2 linked regions of the Tamandua tetradactyla genome follow. The protein of the gene in region 2 interacts with the protein of the main gene of each other region in a pairwise test. Links are inferred from orthologs where the notes say so. Each region holds a gene or a part of one and is shown on either strand. Other genes may lie near its edges.

Region 1 (11,884 bases), on a different chromosome or scaffold from region 2:
AAAATTAATCTTGTTAATCAAGGCCCACTGCGTGGTGAACCAGCACATCAATGGGGATATAGTTCCTTCCCACTATAATACATACGACAACAAAAAAAAACAGTGCTTCATAGACATCAATCTCAGATATCCGAGGGGTAAGTGCAGTTAGTAAAGAAAAATAAAAGCCACCTAACCTTTCTGAGTTGCAATTAATATTTTCCTCTAGTTTGCAAAGTTGACTGATTTGAATTTTCAGTTTCAAAGGCTTCTACCTTCAGAGTTACCCTTTAAAAATACTTAGAGGCAAAAAAAACTGACCCATTAGTGAAGGAAAAATATAGATAGTATATGTTAGCAGGATCAAGGCTAGAGAAAACTAGAATCTATTTAGGATGAAGAAACAAAGAGTTCAAACTGAACTAACTACTGAAAAATCGTCCCAGATCAAAATGTTACTCAATTACTATAAATGCAAAGAGAACAATAAAAAAAGCAAAACAGTCCTAACTTTGTTTCAGAAAAGATTTTGGCAAATACCCATTAATTTTTCTGTATACATAGTCTTTCAAGTGATCATTTGCATGGAATCATATTAACTAGTGATTTAAATCTAAAAGGTAATAGTATCTTAAAAGGCAAGAACATTTAGACTCAGTGTTACATATAAACAATTGACATAAACAAATCTGGATAAAATGAGAAGTAAATGCTGTCTATTTAAGGTAGAGAATCTTTTTTTAAAAAAAAAACAACCATAACATAAAGATTAAGAATAAATGGGAGGTGCACAGATGGTTCAGTGGGAAAATGCTCGCCTGCCATGTAGGAGACCTGGGTTCAATTCCTCTCCATGCAATCCCCCCACCCCAAAAAAGAATGATACTAAAATCATTTAGAGCCACTTTTTATACTATTAAAATATCAGTAGATCTAAGTTTAATATATAAATTATAAATGCTCAAAAAAAACCACATTAATGATAGGGCAGAATTATTAGCACACAACGCAGCAATTCCACTCCTAGGTATACTTATATACCCAGAATTGAAAGCAGGGACTCAGATAAAAATTTGTACATCAATGTATACTGCAGAGTTATTCATAATGGCCAAAAGGTAGAAGTTGCACAAGTGTCCTTCAACAGATGAATGGATAAACAAAATGTGGTATATCCCTAAAATAAAATATTATTCAGCTGTAAAAAGAAGAGAAGCACTGGTATATGCTACAACATGGATGAACCTTGAAGACATCATGTCAATTGAAATAAGCCAGACAGACACAAAAGGACAAAATTGTATAGTTTCCCTACTATGAAATACTTAGAATAGGCAAATTCATAGAGACAGAAAGCAGAATAGTGGTTACCAGAGGTAGGGGTAAGGAGCAATGGGCAGTTATTGCTAAATAAGGATGAGTTTTGATATGGAATGATAAAAATAGTCCGGAAATAGTGGTGAAAGTTATACAGTATTGTTAACATACTTAAAGTCAAAGAATTGTTCACTTAGAATGGTTAAAATGACTTAAGTATATTTCACCACAGTAAAAAATAAATTATATTGAAATTTAAATATATATAATATTGGCAGTTTGACCTTTAACAAATTATTCCAGATGGCACAATCACCTAATCACAACTGAACTATGGTATTTTTTCATTAACAGAAGAGATCATCTTTGAACTACAAATACCTACAGTTCTTGAAGATCTGTTAAAAAGACATCACCCAAATAATCGGTGTCATATGATTTCCATCTAAAATGAAAAGAGAGAATCATATTTATAATTGGTACCTTGGTTTGTAAATTTATTTTTAAAAAAGCAAAAACATTTAAAAGTACAGTAACAAAGGGCCAAAGAGACTACTGAAGTCATTATTTTCTTAAATCCCAACAAATCCAGGTCATAATGATATTGACAAGAATTACACTACCTTCTAAAAAAATAAAATATTCAAAATAAGCAGCTGACAATAAGTTAACCTGCGATACTGCTGTCAGAAATAGATACCTAATTTCTTCTGGCTTGAAAGCCTACCTCCTTGCTCCTACATTTCTATTTTTCAGATTCTCTCAATTAACTAATATAATCTCAATCCTAAATGTTGATAGAAGTAGGCAAGGCATTTGATTTTTTTCAGGGGAAGTTATAACTGATTTAAAATTGTACTTTTACTGTAAAGTCACCCACTGTGGTACTCTAATACAGAGTACTGCTAATATTTCAGAGCTCAGTTTACTCATGAAAACTGTTTTCCAAAGGAAAAAAAAAAAAGGGAGTACATGGGTGGTTCAGTGGTAGAATGCTCTCACCTTCCATTGCAGGAGCTACCAGGTTCAATTCCTGGACAATGTACCCCCCCAAAAAAAGTTCCCAATAAGATACACACTATGCAATATTAACACCCATTACCTACCTTTCTTCTGACAAGCTCCAGGGCCAGCTGACTTCCCCATAGATATAGATCCCACTATCAAAGACTAAATAAATCTACCTGTTGCTTATTCAATTACAAATTTTATTTCTACTACTTTATCCTTTAGGATTTCTGAGAAAATCAAAGTTTACAATTTGCAAAGAAATACTTCACGCAAAGACAAGCAAATATAAACTAAATGAAAAAATCAATCTGAACAACGACTGTAAAAGATTAATTTTTATCTGTTTATACAAAAATAGAGGACATGCAACCGATCTTTTCACCCTCTTTTCTTTTACCTGTAACTTTCAACCAAGATACTAGCTCTAGGGAAAAAGAATCCATAAATATTGTTCCTGCCCATAAAAAGCATTACCTCTAATAGCTCTCACTTAATGAGAGCCAATTTCAACTCAGACTTATTCTATCTTCCAACCATACAAAGTGGCTATCATCCCCTTCTTACAAATGAGAAAGCTATAGTTCAGAAAAGATTAAGTAATTTGCAGAGGATTACACGGTTGGCAACTGCCCAGCATCCTCTACCAAACCAATGAGCTATGGGGTTTCATAACTCCCCACCACTCTTCCAGAGAAGATGATACTGTCCACAAAGGTACCAAAAGACCCTCCAGAATCACACCAACAAAAGCACATGCTTTTTACATTCTCAGGGCTTCTCCCCAGCATCTGGGTTTAGGAGTTACCCACAAGTTTCTCAACAAACATTCAAAAGGATGAAAAAACTTCCCAGGAAAAAAAGAGAACTCCATTTTATAGTTATTGGGCATTCTAGGTTCAGATCTAAATAAAAACTTTTCTCATCCTTTCAAAGTTAAATATCCGTATTCTATTTTAAGAAAAGCTAACCTTCTGATCTTACTCAGTACATTATTTCCTTATTAACAGAACTGATGACAAAGCTTTGATTTCTTTGTAGTCCTTAAATATTCCTACATCCCGGATAGAAAAAAAACTAACAGAAATTACTTTCCTCCAAAGCCAAAGTCAAGTGTTCAGAAGACCCACCCTAGGCTTTCTCACCAGGCCAGGCCCCACCAAGGAAGGAAAGGATCCAAACTGAAAACTTCTCAGTTTCAAGGTGACAGAGAAAAAAACCACAGACTTCTGGTGAATATGACGATGCTTGTTCCTGATATTTTATTCAGCACTTACTGGTATTTTACTAAGTCTACATCTCTAAAGAAAACTACTTGGCACAAAAATATCGGCAACTTAGTTTCAAAACCCTAGTCTATATCTGCACCGTGCAATACACTAGGCACTAACCTCATGTGATTATTCAAATTTAACTTAATTTAAAAACAAAATCTAAATATAAATTTAATTCCTCAGTTGCACCAGCCACATATCAAATACTCAATGAACTCACGTGTCACTAGAGGCTACAGTACTGGACAGCAAAAGAATGGAACAAGTCCATCATCGCAAAAAGTTCTATGGGACAGAGCAACACTGAGTAGAAGGGAAGTCATCCGAGAACACAGTTGACTCCCGCGTGGCTTGCCCCGCAGCATCCAGCGAGACTGCGGCGCTGCTACAGGGCCACAAGTCCCTTGCGAGGCGCCGCGGTCGCTGGGATATTCGAGCGGACGCGATTGTTCTCGCGCTAGGGGGGGAACCCTTTACGGGGGCGGGGGGAGGGTATGTTAAAAACAAAACGCGCCGGCAGCACTGCAAAAGCTCCCATGAAGACTTGAGTAAAGCCCCCCGGACGTGGCGCGTTTCCTCGGCGCTCACAGCGGGGAAGGCCAAGATGCGCTCGTGCCAGTTCGTCAGAGCCGCTGGCCTCCGACGACTCCGGGAACTGAGGCGACGGCGGGAGAAGGAAGGGCGAAAAGGTGCCGGGTGACTGCCCGCTCCGGCCGTAGCCTTTTACCGCCTTTTCTCTACACTCCGGCCCCTCGGCCGGCGGCGGGGGGGCGTCCAGACCACGTACGATGGGCGGGAAGCGCCAAGGCCTCGCGGGCGGCGGCGAAGGCGGAGTCCGGGCCCGGCCGGGAACCGCGCGGGGAGTCTTCCTCCCGCCCAAGTAAACAAGGCCTCGACACGTGCCGCGCACTTACCGGGAGCCACAGCCCAGCAACTGCTGAGCCGAGGCGGGCCAGGCCAGGTCGTCCAGGCCAGAGAGGTCGGGTGGAGAACCTGCGGCGGCGGAAGCAGCGAGTCGACGCCAGCCAGGGTCCGCGCCGCTTCCTCCGGCTGACCCGTCCCTGCAGCTCCGGAAGTACTCGGCGCTGCTGCGTCACTTCCGGCCCGAGGTCGCCCCGCGGTCGCCTTGGGTCACCGCAGTCGCGGGGTGTGAGGGGTACTCGGCCTTGCTATCGGTACAGCCGGTCGCTCAGACCCAAAGTCTGGCCGCAGGACATAGTGGAGGGTTCGGTTTACCGAGGGATGTTCAAAGTCATCGCTTTCCGCGTGCGCCCACCAGTCCTGCCTCCTTGGGATAATTTTAACCAGCGTTTTTCTGACCATGTGAGTACTTAGGTGTCGGGCACGGGCACAGTATCTGGTTTCTGTGCAGTGGATAGAGGGCCGTTGTTTCCCAGCTGCTCTGGTCGAGAGGAGACCTGAATCTTTGAGTCTGCGTAGCCGAATTGGAAATCAACGCCTGCGCGTGGAGGCTGTGTTCTCGTGGCCCGGGAATCTCTGGGCTTTCGCTTTTTCTGCCTTTGCTTTATTCGCCGCCCAGTGCTGCTTCTCATTCACCATACAAGATTGAATCATAACTTCTTTGCTGCACACTTTCTTCTAGCTGTCCAACGTTTCTCACAATGTAGGAACTATCATTATGACTTCCAAAACCTTCTGAGACTTGTCGCCAAGTGTTAGGATTAGGTAGAGCCACGGAGACGCACCCAAGTTGCATCTGCACGACAGTGAAAACGCCTGCGTGAAGCCGATATTGGTAGGGAACCTCCCTGGCTATGCAAATCCATAGACAACAAGCCCACCCATTTCCACTAATGCGAACGGTGAATGTGCAGACAAATCAAGATATGTAAATGTGTAAGAGGCTCTTATTTCCTGCAAGAACTACATGATTTTCAGCTTCAAGTTTAATTCAGAACACGTATCGAAATCAGTGTAACTACTAAAAAAAACACCCAATTAATTTGTAGTGAAAATAATAATTTGTTGTGGGGGTATCAGTTTTGTACATTAGCAACATAAAAGTCTCCACCATGATCCAGAGTACTTGTTTCCTTTGTTTTAACAAAATATATCCATTTGAATTATTTATAATGTAGCAAAAGACCCGAAATATATTTTCTTTTAATGAAATTTCAAATCGAAGCTCTCACTTTGGGTTACTGGTAATAAGTTCTCTTCAATTAATAGAAGGGAAACAGTCGATCTTTCTGTGGAATTATTGCATTAGCAAAATAGGGAATGAGGAGCTCACATAATTGAATACATGCAAGCATGTACAGTGTGTTGGAACCCTTAAACTTTGTATTATCCTCATTTGTTCTCCTGTCTTTCTCCTGCTAACGGGTGATTTTCTTCATGGCATAGCTCCAACCTTGTTTTTTATTTTTATCTTATTAAATAAATATCTATTGGCATGCTGATGATCGTATTGTTTTTCACTAGTGGCAGCTTCTTCTCTGGAAATGATTTTAAAATTAAGCAAAAAATTAAGGATATGATTAAACACAACTGCATATATGTGTGCTTTGGAATGCTGTTTCTATCAGTAAAAAGTTTGCAGCATCCCAACCTCAAAGAGTAGAGACTTTGTTAAATCAATTATGGTAAAATATTCGATGAGGAAAGCCATTAAAAATGATGCTCTTCTAAGGCATCTATTGAAAAGGAAAGGTATTTGTGCTATATTCTTAAGGGATAAGAATAAAATACAAATATGTTTGATATTCCATTTTCAAGATATATAGATGAATTAGAATACATATAAAATGAAACATGTCTTGGTTTTTGTGGGACTGGAATTCAATCGGTCTGCAGTGGAAACCATGTATTTCTGCTCCATAATCTATGGGGCCTCAGTATTAAGACTCAAAAGCTGGGGTGCTTGAGTGGTTCGGTGGTAGAATGCTCACCTCCCACGCAGGAGACCTGGCTTTGATTCCCAGCCCTTGCACCACCACCATCACAACCCCTGCAAAAAAAGACTCAAAGGCTGGGGGCTGGGGTCGTCTGAAGGATTATTATTCATGCATCTGTTGGTTCATGGTGGCTGTCACCTGGGATCCTAGCTGAGGCTGTTAGCCCAATCACCCACACCCACATCCACATGATTTGTGATCACCCCACAAATCATGATCTCCATTTGTCCTAGGCTTTATAACATGGTGGCTGGGTTCCAAAGGCAAATGTCTTGAGAGAGGCAGGTGGAAATTATGTCACTTTTTATGACCTAGCCTTGGAAGTCACACAGCACCATTTCCACTATGTTCTATTGGTCAAACCGATTAGAAAGGATCTTCCTTTTTAGGTCAAGGGAGGGGAATACATCCTTCCCCTCAATGGAGAAATATCAACATCATGTTGTAAGAAAAGCATAGGAGATGGATATGTGTTGATGCAATCATCTTTGTAAATATAATCTGTCATGTTAGCATATATTGCTCTTGGGTATGTGTATTCCATCTTAAGCCTTTATTGGTTTTAATAACCAATATACTTGATACATTCAACATATAAGAATTTAAAATAGTATAAATGTATTGTAATACAAAAGTAATATGGGCTGCCGCGGGTTCGCTGTGAGAGGAAGGGCCTAGACCGGGCCTGCCGCGACCTCTCGCCGGCGGCATGGAGGACGAAGTGGTGCACATCGCCAAGAAGATGGACAAGATGGTGCAGAAGAAAAACGCGGCTGGAGCATTGGATTTGCTGAAAGAGCTTAAGAATATTCCCATGACTCTGGAATTATTATAGTCCACAAGAATCGGAATGTCAGTTAATGCTATTCGCAAGCAGAGTACAGATGAAGAAGTTACATCCTTAGCAAAGTCTCTCATCAAATCCTGGAAAAAATTACTAGATGGACCATCAACTGATAAAGACTCTGAAGAAAAGAAAAAAGAACCTGCCATGACATCGCAGAATAGCCCTGATGCAAGAGAAGAAAGTAGCTCCAGTGGCAGCGTAAGCAGCAGAAAGGATGAGACAAATGCTCGAGATACTTATGTTTCATCTTTTCCTCCGGCACCAAGCACTTCTGATTCTGTACGGTTAAAGTGTAGAGAGATGCTTGCTGCAGCTCTCCGAACAGGAGACGACTACATTGCTATTGGAGCTGATGAGAAAGAATTAGGATCTCAAATTGAAGAAGCTATATATCAAGAAATAAGGAATACAGACATGAAATACAAAAATAGAGTACGCAGTAGGATATCAAATCTTAAGGATGCAAAGAATCCAAATTTAAGGAAAAATGTACTGTGTGGGAATATTCCTCCTGACTTATTTGCTAGAATGACAGCAGAGGAAATGGCTAGCGATGAGCTCAAAGAGATGCGGAAAAACTTGACCAAAGAAGCCATCAGAGAGCATCAAATGGCCAAAACGGGTGGAACCCAGACTGACTTGTTCACATGTGGCAAATATAAAAAGAAGAACTGTACTTGCACACAGGTACAAACCCGTAGTGCTGATGAACCAATGACAACATTTGTTGTCTGTAATGAATGTGGAAATCGATGGAAGTTCTGCTGAGTTGAGAGAATTGGCAAGATGTCTGGACCATTAAGAAAATGGATTTTGTAATTAGTTTTAAAACTCTGCCAAGCAACTAGTTTTCTGACAAATCAGATTTTTAAAGCAGCATACATCCCTTGGGTTAGTCTGTTTTTGACTTAACTTCCCTTCCTTAAACACCTTCTATGTTCAAATAGCAGTAGGGAGACCATATAATAATTGTATGGTATCTGTTTCAGAATATTTCTTTCATTTTTATAAGTAAGTTGATATTAAACTTTTATCAGTTAAACTTTTGGCACTCGATTTCTTCTTTTCTTGTTAAAGAAAAATATACCTTATCTTTTTTACAGTCTGAAACATTACACTAAAAATGTTATTCTTCTCTTTATACATAAGTGGAAATTAGATTATTTCCATATTGGCATGTACCTGCAAATATTAGAGAAGAAGAAAAGGTAATATGATTTTAGGTTTATCAAATATGGTGTGTATTCAAATAGTACTTGACCAGCTTATCTAAATTATATATAATATTTGAACCAGCATATGAATTTGATTTTAATTATTATGTTCTCAAGCATGGGATAATTAGATATTTTGCATCTGTAACTACCATGATCATCATTTCTTGTAATTTCTTGTACATGTACTTGTTCTTAACAGATTTTACTTTTGGTAACTTGACTTTACTTTGTTGAAATTAGTTGGGTTTCGTTGTTTGTTTGCCTGTTTCATTTTGTAATTGATTTTAGTTTTGCAGAAGAACGCTGTCATAGTTTAGTATGGTTTTTTCATAAATCTCTACATAGGCAAAGAATGAAAGCTTTTAACCGTTTTTGTCCTTCATAGGAAGACTTGCTAGGAAGAAAGTGTTATCATCTTACTATAGAGTAGTTAATGTAAACAGTTCAAGATCTGATTTTGATTTGGAGATCCACACTGACCTAGTTTTTTTTCATAAATCCCTGCATAGGCGAAGAATGAAAGCTTTTAACCATTTTTGTCCTTCATGGAAGACTTGCTGGGAAGAAAATGTTAGCATTTTACTATAGAGTAGTTAATGTAAACAGTTCAAGATCTGATTTTGATTTGGAAATCCACACTGACCTAGGAGTAAGCTTAAGGATTGTATAAGCCATTAAAACTGTGGTCTTTCCATATGGAGGTTGATGGAAAATATTTTTGCCCTTAGTTTTATTTGCTGATTTTCTCTTTTACATGTTGTATGAGGTTGAACAGACTGGATATGGGCTGTAGTGCAAGTTGTCTTCTATACAGCTCTTACAGTTAAAATTTTACTTTTTGTTGAGGTGTGTACATTTGTTCTATCAGGTTCCTTGATTGTGCACTTGTTCCAGTGCATCTGAAAGGCCACTGTTAAAAAGGCTACATGTTATCCCACTCAATCTGCATTCTGTCAGATGCTGCTAAAGAGACCTCAGTCCATGCTTGACACTCCCCTCCAATCCCCCTTTTTCCCATTTCTTGTTGCATATCAGTTTGATGTAATATGGAAAATAATATTTGAACATCCACGTTAAGACCCATATTTGTAAGATTTGGCCCCCTTCCACCAGCCCATCTTTACTTTGTGAGTTCACAGATTAACCTATTGCATTGTCACTTAAAAAATATAGTGCATTTTTGGAAAGAGTAAATTTAAGAAAGGAGTAAAGTTATTCCCACTTTTAAATTAAGTCATTCATTTTTAAATTTGTAATTCAATAAAGTTTCTTGTTAAAAACATAAAAAAAAAAAAAAAAGTAATATGAACATCCCCATTACTTCCATTCATTAATCCAGGGTTGTTGCTACTTTCCAGAGTTTGATGCACATCCTTCCAGGACTCTTTCTATGCAGGTACAATGAAGTCCTGTGGATATACTCTATTTCACATAGTTGTGAAAATTGGGGCGATTATATTAATAGAAATAGAATTGGTAAGTCAACTCCTATACTCATCTCCAATTGTGAAGATGGGAGATACTGTAAAATCACCTTTCAAAATAACTTCAGTTCCTTCAGTCTGGCTAAAGGCCAGGCCCAGTATTGTTAGATATAATGGGATCTCTAAAGAGATAACAGTCCCTGTGCTCAAGGAGCTTTGATCTGGTAGGGGTTTCAAAAATTAGTGAAGTAGTTAAATGTGAAATTGCCACTGTGATGAGTGTTGCTCGAGAGAGCTAGGAGGGCTCCATTCTCAGCCTCTGCTCCAACTATACTCACTTCCTAATGATATCATCCAATCCTTTGGTTTTAGTACCTCCCCTACGCTGATGAATTCCCAGTCCTTACGCCCTGTTCTACCCAAATTGCTGGGTAGAACAATTGTCCTTTTAATATATCCATTTAGTGTTATATTGATACTCAAATTTAACATGTCCCAAGCAAAACCAAAGTTTGTCACCAAATGTTGCCATTCCTCCAATGTTTTTCGGTTCCCTAATGCCACCATCTTTCACCATTTACTCGGGCCTCAAATTCAGGAATCATTCATGACTATTTTTTTCCCTTTTAAATTCCACATTCAATTCACACAGTATAGACCAAGCCACTCTTCTGATCTCTGGATGTGAGCAGTAGTCCCTTAACTAGTCTCCCTGCTTCGACTAATGCTCTGCTATATCTGTTCTCTGCATTTTGTCTAGAAGGATCTATTTTTTTAAACTTTTTATTGTTATAACATATATATATTATATATACAAAAAAGCAATAAATTTCAAGGTACATTATAACAAGTTTTATAGAATGGATTTCAGAGTTTGGTATGGGTTACTATTCCACAATTTTATGTTTTTCCTTCTAACTGCTTCAAGACACTAGAGACTAAAACAAATATCAATAGAATGATTCAGCAGTGATACTCGTTTGTTAAATCCTGTCTTCTCTGTTATAACTCCTCCTCCTCCTTTGATGCTTCTCCCTGTCTTTAGGGGTATATAGACTGTGGTAGTTAGATTCAGGTGTCAGCTTGGCTAGGTGAAGGTGCCTGGTTCTATTGCTGTGGACATGAGCCAATGGCACGTGAACTTTATCCGTTGCTGATTTTATCTGCAGTTGGCTAGGAGGAGTGTCTGCTGCAATGTTTGATTTAATTGGCTGGTGCTTAAATGAGAAAGCTCAACTTAGCGCAGCCAAAGCAGCTCAGCATACGTCAGCTCAGCACTCGCAGCTCAGCACTCGCAGCTCAGCCCAGGCCTTTGGAAATGCAGAAAGGAATCACCCTGGGAAAAGTTGTTGGAACCCAGAAGCCTGGGGAGAAGGCCAGCAGAGATCACCCTGTGCCTTCCCACGTAAGAAAGAACCTCAGTTGAAAGCTAGCTGCCTTTCCTCTGAAGAACTATATGTTATGTTAACTAAATAAATCCCCTTTTATTGAAAGCCAGTCAATCTCTGGTGTGTGCATTCCAGCAGCTAGCAAACTAGAACGTGGGCTATACCCATTCTAACTTTTTCATGTAGGAAAGGGGTATCAACAATATAGGATAGAGGGATGAAACGAGTTAATGTTCTTGAAGAGGCTGGCCCCTCTGAGTTTCAGAACTTGTCTGACTTAGGAACCCATCTGGAGGTTTTTGGTTTCTGGAAAGTCATCTTGGTATGTGAAACATTTGTAGAATCTCAGATAGAACCCTAGGTGTTCTTTAGAGTTAACAGGAATGGCTTTGGTTGGGGGTTGGCAAACCGTGGTTTGCTGGTTTGAATCTATGGTGTACTCCAGAAAAGCCATGTTCTTTAATCCTCATTCAATATTGCTGGGTGGGAGCTTTTTGATTATTCATGGAGCT
Region 2 (11,164 bases):
TAACTAGTTTATTAAATCAGCCATAGATTTCATGAAGAAGTGGCTGATCTATAAGCATTTCCTTATTTTCTGACAGCATCATCTGTCTAGAAATTGAAGGAGATTTAAAAGTATGTTCTTAAGAAATGCATGTAAAGAAAAAAGAATAAAACTTGCTTTGAGACAAAGATTTTTTTAATTTTAAAAAGTCAAAGCCTATATTAAATCAGGAAATCAATAAGTCTGAGTTATACAAGCTTTCTATATACTTAAAATAAAAAATAAACTCTCAAACCTATGGTCATCTGCTTTTTGACAAGATGCAGGTACAATCAGTGGGAAGAATAGTCTCCGCAAAAAATGGTACTGGAAGAACTGGATAGCCATATGCAAAAAAAATTGAAGGCGGACCCCTACCTCACATCATAGACAAAAATAAACTCAAAATGCATCAAAGACATAATATAAGAACCAAAACTATAAAGCTCCCAGAATAAAACACAGGGAAACACCTTCAGAAACTTGTGTCAAGCCATGAGTTTTTAGACTTTATACCAAAAGCACAAACAACAAAAGAAAAAATTGATAAAAGGGTCTCATCAAAATTAAAAACTTTTGCATCAAAGAGCTTTATCAAGAAAGTAAAAAGGCAATTTACTGAGTGGGGGAAAATATTTGGAAAACATTAATCTAATAAAAGTTTAATATCCAGAATACATAAAGAACTCTTATAACTCAACAATAAAAAGACAAGTAGCCCAATTAAAAAATAAGCAAAAGACTTGAATAGACAGCAATCACAGAAATATCTACAGACGCAATAAAAACATGAAAAAATGCTGAACATCATTAGCAATTAGGGAAATGCAAATAAAAACCACAATGAAATAAAAGATAACCAAAAAAGAAAGGAAAAAAAAAACCACAATGAGACCCCATTTCACACCCACTAGAATGGCCATTATTAAAAATAAGTGTCGGCAAGGATGCTGAGAAATAAGAATGCTTGTACATTGTTGATGGGAATGTACAGCTACTATGGAAACTAGTTTGGTGATTCCCTGGAAGTTAACTATAGAATTACCATCTGACCCAGCAATCCCACTTCTAGGTATATAGCTATATACTCTGAAGGCAGGGTCTCAAACAGATACTTGCACACTGATGTTTATAGAAGCACAGTCATAATTGCCAAAATGTGGAGGCAACCCAAGTGCCCAACATCCAATGAATGGATAAAACATAGTATAGACATACAATGGAGTATTATATTATATATAATATATATTATATTTTATATATATAAAAGTTCTAATGGATGAACCTTGAAGAACCTTGAAAAAATGTTGAGTGAAACAAGTCAGATTCAAAACACGGGTAAATATCATATGATCGCACTTTAACAAAATAAGTGGAATATGCAAATTCATAAAGTCAAACTAGAATACAGGTTACCAGGAGCTGGGTGGGGTGGGGAATGGAGAATTAATGTTTAATTGGTACAGAGCTCCTGTTCGGGGTGATGGAAAAGCTTTGGCAATGGATGATGATGGCGGCACAACTCTGTGAAAAGTAATTAACACCACTGAATTGTATATTTGATAGTAGATAAAATGAGACATTTTAGGTTGTATATAAGTTGCCAGAAAAAACAACACAGAACTGTGCAACACAGAGTGAACCCTAATGTAAACTATGAGCTACAGTTAATAATTGTCTTACCAAATTGTGGCAAACGTACCTCACTAATGCAAAATGTTCATTTTAAATGGGAACTCTACTTTCTGTGTGATTTTTTCTGTAAACCTACAACTGCTCAATTAAAAAAAAAATAGCTGTTGAATGATGGAAAAAACAACTGAATATCCTTGTTCTTAGGAAATACACATGGAAGTATTATATGTTCAAGGAGCAAGATGTGTGCGATCTACTCTTAAATGTTTGGAAAATAAATAGACAGGCAGATAGGTAAATAGATTGATGGTTAGATGGTCAGAGAGACTGAAATGGCAAACACGGCAAAATGCTAAACTGGTGTGGGTATTCAGAGGTGGGGTATGTTGTACTTCTCTGTATGAGGTTTCTATTATTTTGGCAGCTGTCCTGCAAACATCAAATTATTTCAAAATAAATTATATTTTTTAAAAGAAGAAAACACATTTTGGTTTTGGGGGGAGCAAATTCTACCAACCATGGACACTTGGAGCCTACCCCCCTACCCTTTGACAAAAGTCCAGGAGATTTTCTCTTTTTTTCTTTTTGGTGTTGTTTGTGGAAGGGGTGCCAGTTTCTGTGATGGACTTGGTGGCTGCAGCTTGGAAGAAAGTACCTCCCACTAAGTCCAAAGGCCTTTTAGCCTCTTCATCAGTCTGCTTGGATCTCAGAAGCAATCCATTCAGATGGAGACCCCTCCGCCAAGGAGCATTTCCAGTGAAAGGACACTAAGGGAGAGACGGTCCCTGCCCAGCCCTAACCCTCCCCGCCCACCCGTGCCCATGGGCTAAGCCTCCCCCAGTCCAAAGCTGCGATCCCCATGGACACTCACGGGCAGGAGAAGCATGTGCCACACCAAGACATTGGCGTCATCGCTGAACAGGTCCCGCACATACCGGGGAGGTGTCTTCTGAAGGTCCTCCAGTTCCTGCAGGGGGGCACAGCGAATGGACAGTTGGCCTAGTCTTCCCTACTTCCGTCCCCTTCCCTGGCCCCAGCACAACATGACACAGTGGACAGCAGAAGCCAGCAAAAGTAGGCCCCTGTTTTGAGTATGTGTCAGGCCTGGCGCTAAGTACTTGGTGAGAATTCTTTGATTTCAGCCTCACCACAGCTCTGTAAGTATGAGGTGCAGGGAAGATGTACATAACTTCTCTCAGATATTACAACGTGGGATAAAGCTCTCTCAGGAACCCTTTCTCCTAAAACCAAGGTACTTCACCTGTACCTCTTGCCCTCTTCCTAGAAAATCACTAGGTCCCAACTCCCCCACCACCCACCCTTCCATTAGCATCTGCTGAGTGCCCCACAGGACATGAGTGGATGGTGCTTATGGCAGATTTATGCAGCAAAAACTCCACCTGAATACACCTGAGGAAGGAAAATGACTCAGGCAGACCACAGCAGAGGAGAACTCTACATGCCAAGCTGAGGAACATGGGGGCAAGGAGTGAATTTGCCCCCGAAATGTGACCCAATCATCTGGATATCCGTGAATTCTCTCAACAATCATTTACTGAGCATCCTCTACTGACACTCGTCTAAGACAGAGCCCAGTCCTCAAGAAGTTCCATGGAAGAATGCAGGAAACATGAATGTGATTACATGGTAACATGAAATGGGGAAGGAGAGATGAGGAAAGCTGGGAGGTATCACAGAGGCTGCACGTTGTGAGCTGGGTCCTGCAGATTAAATAGGAGTTTCATGCAGAGAAGAGGAAGGGTACCAGAGCAAAGGGACCAGTTAGGACAAATGTGTACACTGCACCCCATGGAAGGGTAATAGTTACTACAGGAAAAGAGTCCCATAGGTATATAAGTTTGGGAAACACTGGGCTAAACCAGTTTCTTTACTGCAGGGTTTCCCAGAGCCTTTATTGTGGGTTATGATGTGAGCCCTTCACATGCAATACCTCTCAAACATATTTAACCAAGGAACCTTTTTGGGGTCCATTCCGTGCAACTACAGAGACTTAAAAAAAAAAAGATGAAAATTAATCAAAAGCAGGTCTTATTTCTTTGGTATACCTAGTTGGTATAAACCAGCAGTTTTGTCCCCTGCCCTCCAGGGGCCATCTGCCAATGTCTGGACATATTTTTGATTGTTATAATGGGGGGGGGGTGCTACTGGCACCCTGTGTGCATAACGTCCTACAATACACAGGCCAGTCTACTCCGGTGAAAAATTATTTGGTCCAAATGTCAATACTGATGGGACTGAGACTGGCAGAGAGCTCCCAAACGCAGCCCAAAGTTGGGGAAGAGTCCTTTAACCCCGTGATCCGTCTGAATTTTCTCTGTCCCCCTCCCTTCTATCTTTTAGCCCATCCTCTGTCTCTCGTCATACCAACCAACTGCTCCTGGTGCCTTCTGCATAAACATCATTTATCTTTCACCCCAAACTAGAAGGAGAATTTGCTACTACAAGTTCTCATTGAGTGTCTTGAAGCTCAAGTTAAAAAAGAAAAGCTCTGGAATGGACATTTTCCTGACTTTAACTGGGAACATTCAGGAATTGATGTGTTATGAGTTCTGCCAAATTTTCCCAGAAAATGTTGCAACCAAGCTAGGACACACAATTTTTTCCTGAAGCCAGTTCAGAAAATCACCTGATTTACAGAAAGAGAAAATGAAAGTACAGAAGTCACTCAAAGAGCCGGCAGCTCAACTCCCAGCCCCATCACTTCCTTACCGGGTGATAGTGAACAAGCAACTTACTCTCTCTGAGCCTCATTTCCCCATCTGCAAAATGGGGTGCTATTGCTTATCCCACCTGCTGGCCGTGAGAATGAGAAGAAATAACCGACCTGAACTGCCAGTGTAACAAACACTGGTTCCCATCTCTTTAGCACTCGGCTGCAAGAATTCTCCAGCCAACCTCCAGCCTACCTTGGGAGTTCAGTTCTTCCAGGCTGAGCCTGCTCTCAGAGCCCCATTCAGACAGCATCTTCTCCAAGGTTCCCTCCTTTACCCCCTCAAGCCTGTCCCTCTACTCTAAGGACTAGAGGACACTTCTGAGAGACACAAAGGCTGTGGGATGGGCAGCCTTACTTCACCAGGATTGCTTTTCCTCCCCCATCTATCTACAGTCCAGTTCCCCACTCGAGCTGGCCTTCTCCAGCTCGTGCCCCGGCCCCCTATCCTTCCAGAACACATGGCAAATTGTGTACCTGATTAGAATGAAAGCTCAGCCAGAGCAAAGATTTGTGCCAGCTCCTTCACCTCTGCCTCCCATCCTCCGATGAGATGACCCATAAGAGGCATTCAACAACATTGGTGGAACGAATGAATGAATGCACACCACCATCTCCAGGAGACCTCCGAGGTCACCTTGGCATCTTTTCCTCCCGAGAAGGCTCGGGGAATGCGGCCCGAAACTCGGAGTCAACATCTTACGTTTCCTTGGACTTTAATAAGAAAGGTAACAACCTAGGGGCGGCCACAGGCTGTTACTCGAAGGCGAGGACCTTGTCCCCTTTTATTCTCTGCTCATAACCCTCTTTTTCCGCCAGAAGAGTGCATGACACCAGGAAGTCGCCAAGGAACCCTGGCTGCAATTGTTCCCTCAAGTTTCTGGCAGGGGAAGTGAAACTGAAAGCAGCATCGGGATAGCCTGCAGTGGGCTCGTTCGCACTCTCAGCAAAGCTCGGCGGGGGGGAGAGCGACAGCCCCGCTCCGCATGGCCCACCCCCCACCCCCACCTCTAGCCCCCTCTCGCAGACGCACTCCTCCACTGGGGAGGGAGGCGGGGATAGCAGATTCAGCCAACCCTGGTATCCAGACAAAAATGCACCGGGAGAGCCGGGGTAGGGAGAGAGAGAGCGCGGAGGGAACCGGGCGGCCGCGGGAAAAGGGGGTCATCCCGTTGGGCGTTACCTTCGCCACCCGCTTGCTCGCTGTCATCTCAGGACCGAGTGTGAGGCTCCGGCGGAGTCCAGCTGCACAGTGCACCGGCGGGCGGTCTGGAAGCGCGCGGCCGGGGTGGGGCGAACTCCTCCTCCCCGAGCCCCGCCCACGCTTCGCTCCACCCCCCCCTCCACCCCCGCCCCGCGCACCCACGCGGGGGCGGTGCGCGGACTCCGCGGAGCTGCGGGGAGGCTGCCGAGGGGGCGCACCCGGCCCCGGCGCGGCGGGCTCGGGTCCCGGGAACTCCCGCTCTTTGTCCGGCGGGCCTGGGAGCGCGCGGCGGGACCTTGTGTCCGGGTGTCGCTGGGGGTGCGGGGGTGGGGCGGCTCCGTGCACCGGGCAGCGGGGGCGCGGGGCTGGGGTCCGCCCAGCCGGGTGCGGGTCCCAGCTCCTCCGCCGGGGCCGGCGCCGGGAGCGCCTCTGCATCGACCTCTCAACCCCTACCCCCAATACACTCTCGTCCTGAGCAAAGACAAGGGTGGTCGCTGCGCAGGCCAGCTCCGCGGCAGGTCTCCGGACGGCCCCTGCCCATCAAAAGTCGCCGCCCCTGGCGAATGCCCGAACCCCCATGGACAAGTTGTGTCCCCTCTCCGAGTCCAGTGCCTTGTCCCTAAAAGTAGATGGGGGGCCGCGTAGACTAGGTGCCCTCCAAGGGCCCTTCCCCCAGCAGCCTTGGACTCTCACTTGCTGACCAGTAGCTGGCGGAGAAACTGCAAGGACGCTGCTCCCAGACACCATAAGGGGGCGCTGTTTGGCTCAGTTTTCTCTCGCTTTGGGGGTTGGGCCGTCCATTTATTTGGTCCTTTACTAGGCTTCATGTATATCGTAAGTGCCAATACATGTCGGTTTGGAAAACAGGTGGGTGGAGGGAACCCCGAGACAAACTTCAGGAGTTTCCCCCCAGAGGGAAGGCTGCCTCCCTTCTTTTCTTGCTGGTGCCTCCACAACTTCAGCCTACTATGCACCCCCATACTCAGCTAGGAGTCTCCTTCCCTTTATGCAAGCGCAGAGACCCCTTTCCCCAACCTGAAGCCGAGGCGTTCTGGAATAGTAAGCCCTGAGCACCTAATAGCGTCCGGGGGGAAGAATTTCCTAGAAGTGGTGACACGCAGAGATTTCTTGGGAGGAAATGAGCCCTGCTTCCTCACCCTCTCCCCACTTCTGCCCAGCTGTCCATCAAAGGGAGTCTGGTTGAATCAATTATGGTACAGCCACACAGAGGAATATTAGGCAGCCGTAAACAAGAATGAGGAGGCTGGTTATGTACTGCTAGAGAATGTCCTTAAAGATATATTTTAAGGGATGAAAACAAAGTATAGCAGGGTGTGAAAATTATATTACCATTTGTGTAAATAAAGGAAAGATAATCTTTGCGTGTGTATGCCTAGATGTGTGCTTCTGTGTGTATTTCCGGAAAGATACAAGGTACAGGCGCAGTGAAGGTTTCTTGGGATGGCAACCAGGGGACTTGCATAGGAATGCAAGGAAACTTTTTTACAATAAACCTGATTTCCTTTTAAATTTTTGAACAATGTGAATGGACTACCCTTTAGAAAATGAAAAATGTTTAAATTGAAAAATAAATATTCTTTTTAAAACTGAAACTTGTTGACATTCGAGTTTTTATTGCTAGCTTCTGTTTTAAAATGTGGCTTCTTTTTGCATTGTGACTGCGTGATTGCAAAAACCTTGTGTCTGATGCTCCTTTTATCTAGGGTATGGACAGATGAGTAAAAGATATGAACAAGAAAAGAAACAAAAACTAGGAGGAACAAAGGTTAAATTGAGTAGTTTGAAATACTAGTGCTTAATGAGAGGGAGGGATAAAGGGTATGGTATGTATAAGTGTTTCTTTTTTTGCTTTTATTTCTTTTGCTGGAGAGATACAAATGTTCAGAAAAATGATCATGGTAATGAATACACAACTTTGTGATGCTATTGCTAGCCATTGATTGTACACCACAGAATGTTTTATGTTGTTTACAATAAAAATATTAATAAAAAATGTGTTATGGTAATATGCAAAAAAAAAAAAAATGTGACTCTTGGCAATACAAAGCCCAGGGTCCCCATTGACTGCCCTTTTATACCAGGTATGCACGCCCTCTTTGCCGCAGTCCTCACCACTCCCTATTCATCCCCACCTGGCCAGCTTCACCCTCTCTTTTAGCTGCCTGGCTCCTGGAAGGAATGCCTGCTCTGAAGTTTCTCGCCCTTGCTAACTTCTTATCTCTCAAGAACTCTCCTCTCCTTTCTCCCCCAGGATCAGGATTTTTTGTTTTCCGGGATGATTCTGGCTTCGCAGATGTAGGCGTGAAGCTGTCCTAGGAGGTATGACAGCTCCTCTTCCCCACTCAGGATGTTCCAAGGACTTCACAGGGTGAGGTTGGGGAGAGAATGTTGGCATTGTCTATCCCTAGATGAGGCGGGAACTTCCTTTCAGAGGGGGCTGTCTGGGTCAGATAAAGGCTCAATGACAGAGCTAGAGTAAGTCTCAGAGACTACCTGAAAAACAGGCAGGAAATATATTAATACATGAAAAAAAAAACCACGTTTCATGCACCATAGACAGTAGACATCTTACCTGTGTGTTTATGTAACTAAACTTGAAGGGTACTGAGGTGACTGATAGAGTGGTGATCAGTTGGGGAGGAAAATGATTTTGTCAGTTTACAGCACACCCTTTCAGGCTATCCAGGCTATTTCATCTTCTTTGAGCTTTTGTACAACTTGGTGAGAAATAAAATCTTGTAGGCCCAACACGGAGTCACCCATGCTAAGCCTCACGTTAGCGAAACAGTAAACTTAAGCTACTTACTATTTCCTGTAAACGCTGGGCTTGCCCAGGAAACCAAATTTAAATACGGCAGATAAGTTATCGCCAGCTAATCGGTTCCTAGCAGCCACCTGCTCCTCACTTCATAAAAACACACCCTCCACCCCACCTAAAATGGAAACTTAATGCCAGCCAATCCAAATATTTCCTCCCTTGCTTCCTCGTCTGCCCAGTAAGAGTTTCTCCCTTCCATCTCCTGGGGCCAGCTGGGGGTGGGGAGTTTCCTTTTACTTTCTGAATGGGGTGCTGCTTGATTCACGAATAGCTCAAAAAGCTGTGGGATCCTAAACTGCATGAAAAGTTTTCCTTTTATCATCAGTAAATTTTAGCAACTGATAACAATGCAAAATAATTCTTGTAGACATGCAAATTCTTTTCTCTCCAGTACAGGTTTAACCGACTTCCTCTCTGTTTTAGTTGTTAAAGCTGCTGGCATGTGATATACCAGAAACAGGACAGCTTTTAAAAAGGGAATTTATTAAGTTGCAAGTTTACAGTTCTGATTCCTTGAAAATGCCCAAACTAAAGCATCTAAGGAAAGATGCCTTGACTCAAGAAAGGTCCAGAACACCTGTCAGCTGGGAAGGCACATGACAATGTCTGCTAGCTTTCTCTTCTTATTTCATAAGGCTTCCCTGGGGGTGTTTTCCTACTTCATTTCCAAAGATCTCTGGCTATGTGGGCTCTGTTGGCTCTCAAGCTTTTTCTAAAATGTTTCCCTCTTAAAGAGCTCCAGTAAACAGCCCCACCTTGAATGGGTGGAGACTTAGCTCCACAGAAGCCATCTAATCAAAAGTTACACCCATAATTGGGTGGGTCACACCTTCATGGGAATAATAAAAAAGATCCCACACAGCAATACCGAATGAGGATTAAAGAACATGGCTTTTCTGGGGCACAGGACAATTCCAAACCGGCACATTCCACTCTTTGGACCCCCAAAAAGCATGTTCTTCCCAAATGCAAAATACATTCATTCCATCACAATAGCACAAAGCCTTAAACCATTTCAGTAACAATAAACAAATGCAATATACAGAAACGGTACAAAATCTCATCAAAGTCAGCTATAGACCTGGTCTGTCTTAAGGCAAAACTCTCCTCTGTCTGTGGACCTGTAAAACTCAGAACAAGTTACCTGCTGCCAATGTACAAAGAAGGGGTATTCATAGGATACATATTTCCTTTTCCATAAGGAGAAATTGGAAGGAACACAGGGGTCACCATACCCAAACAGTTCTGAAACCTACAGGGCAAACTCCATTAGATTTCAAAGTCTGAGAGTCATTTATCCTCAGAACTTTAGAAAGCAGGAGCCCCACTCTTTCCAAGGGTCTGCTCAGCAGCTCTACCCTCTCCAAACGCTGGTGTGGGGTTTGCAGTCTTGAAGGACACTGGGGAGAGCACCTTTTTCTCAGCTCTGCCCTTTCCGAGCATTGAGGCAACAACCAGGCTCTCTGCCATCTCTGGGGCACACGTTCAACCCTTCCAGGATAATGGGGTGGCAGCCAGGCTCTCCCCAGTCCCCCAGGAATGTGCTCCACCCTCTCCAAGGTCTGGGAGACAACTCTTCCAGAGCATCCAGCGGGGAGACTCACCCTCTGCCTTTGGGGCAAACTCACCCTCTCCATGTGTATAGATGGGTCCACTCTCCTTGCCCGACATTTCTTGTCTTCAAACCTTAGCTTCCATGGTTCTGCCTCTGAGGCTACTTTTCCTTCAATTTGTCCCTTTTCTGTCCCTTTTAATCCAGACTGGCAGTGGTTCCATTTATGCAGATTCTGCAACACTTTTGTTGATTTTCTATGTCGTATGAAGAGAATGTGACTATCAGACAATAGGATTTTCCAGAGATCCTTCCTGGATAGTTCCAGCTCCAATCCTGGCTTGTCCTGAAATAGCTGGCTGTTTCTATGTTTGGTTAAATCCTCATGTGAGTCACTATTCCCTGGGGTCTCCCTTTCTGGAAGCCCAGAATTTTCCAGAATAACAATTTCAGCTTTCTTTGCACACAGGAGTTCAGTGCTCAACTTATCTCTTTCCTGTTGCATTTCACTATAAGCTGCAAGGAGAAAACATGCTGCACTTCCTGCATTTTATTTGGAAATGCATCCTTTCTGCTTAAGTCCTTATCAGTGGTATCTTTAGAGTCCACATTTCTCCCAACAGTCTCTTCAAAGCATTTTAGGCTTTCTCTATCAAGTTCCTCACAACTCTGCCAGAATCTTCCCTTTATTCATTTAACAAGCTGCTCTAACATGTTTGGTATATTCAGACTGCAGCAGCACCCCACTTCTCTGATACCAAAATCAGTTTTAGTTTGTTAAAGCTGTTGGAATGCAATATAATGGAAATGGAATGGCTTTTTTTTTTAATGTAGAAAAAAGCTATTTAATTCATTTAAAAATAACATATTAAGCCCAGTACATGATAAAATAAATAACATGTTTTTATGAAATATTTTTCCAAAAAAAGTTTTGTTTTGTTTTTTTTTTTGCAATATCTCTTTAAATATGCCTCGGTAGAAGATAGCTGGGTTTTCATATCTGCTTCTGCATTCCATTTCCTGCAGTAGTCCTGTTTACCAAGGGAACTTCTAAGTTGCAGGTTTACAATTTTAAGGCTGTGAAGATGTCCAAACTAAGGCATCCAGGGAAAGATACCTTGATTCAAGAAAGGGCCAATGGGTCCAGAACACCTCTGTCAGCTGGTAAGGCACATACTGATGGTG

The links.
Region 1: the proteins of UBE2L6 (region 2) and ARIH2 interact in binary tests that used the Homo sapiens proteins (3 or more experiments, as listed by UniProt). The link is inferred for Tamandua tetradactyla from reciprocal best matches to the Homo sapiens genes UBE2L6 and ARIH2.

What each region holds. Positions count from the first base shown.
Region 1 is NC_135341.1:37,308,100-37,319,983, forward strand, and holds the start of ARIH2 (E3 ubiquitin-protein ligase ARIH2), read right to left. Parts: upstream 4,649-11,884; 5' UTR 4,493-4,648; intron 1,742-4,492; 5' UTR 1,682-1,741; intron 1-1,681.
Region 2 is NC_135335.1:20,005,030-20,016,193, reverse strand, and holds the start of UBE2L6 (ubiquitin/ISG15-conjugating enzyme E2 L6), read right to left. Parts: upstream 5,692-11,164; 5' UTR 5,595-5,691; coding exon 5,568-5,594; intron 2,621-5,567; coding exon 2,525-2,620; intron 1-2,524. UniProt on the Homo sapiens protein: Catalyzes the covalent attachment of ubiquitin or ISG15 to other proteins. Functions in the E6/E6-AP-induced ubiquitination of p53/TP53. Promotes ubiquitination and subsequent proteasomal degradation of FLT3.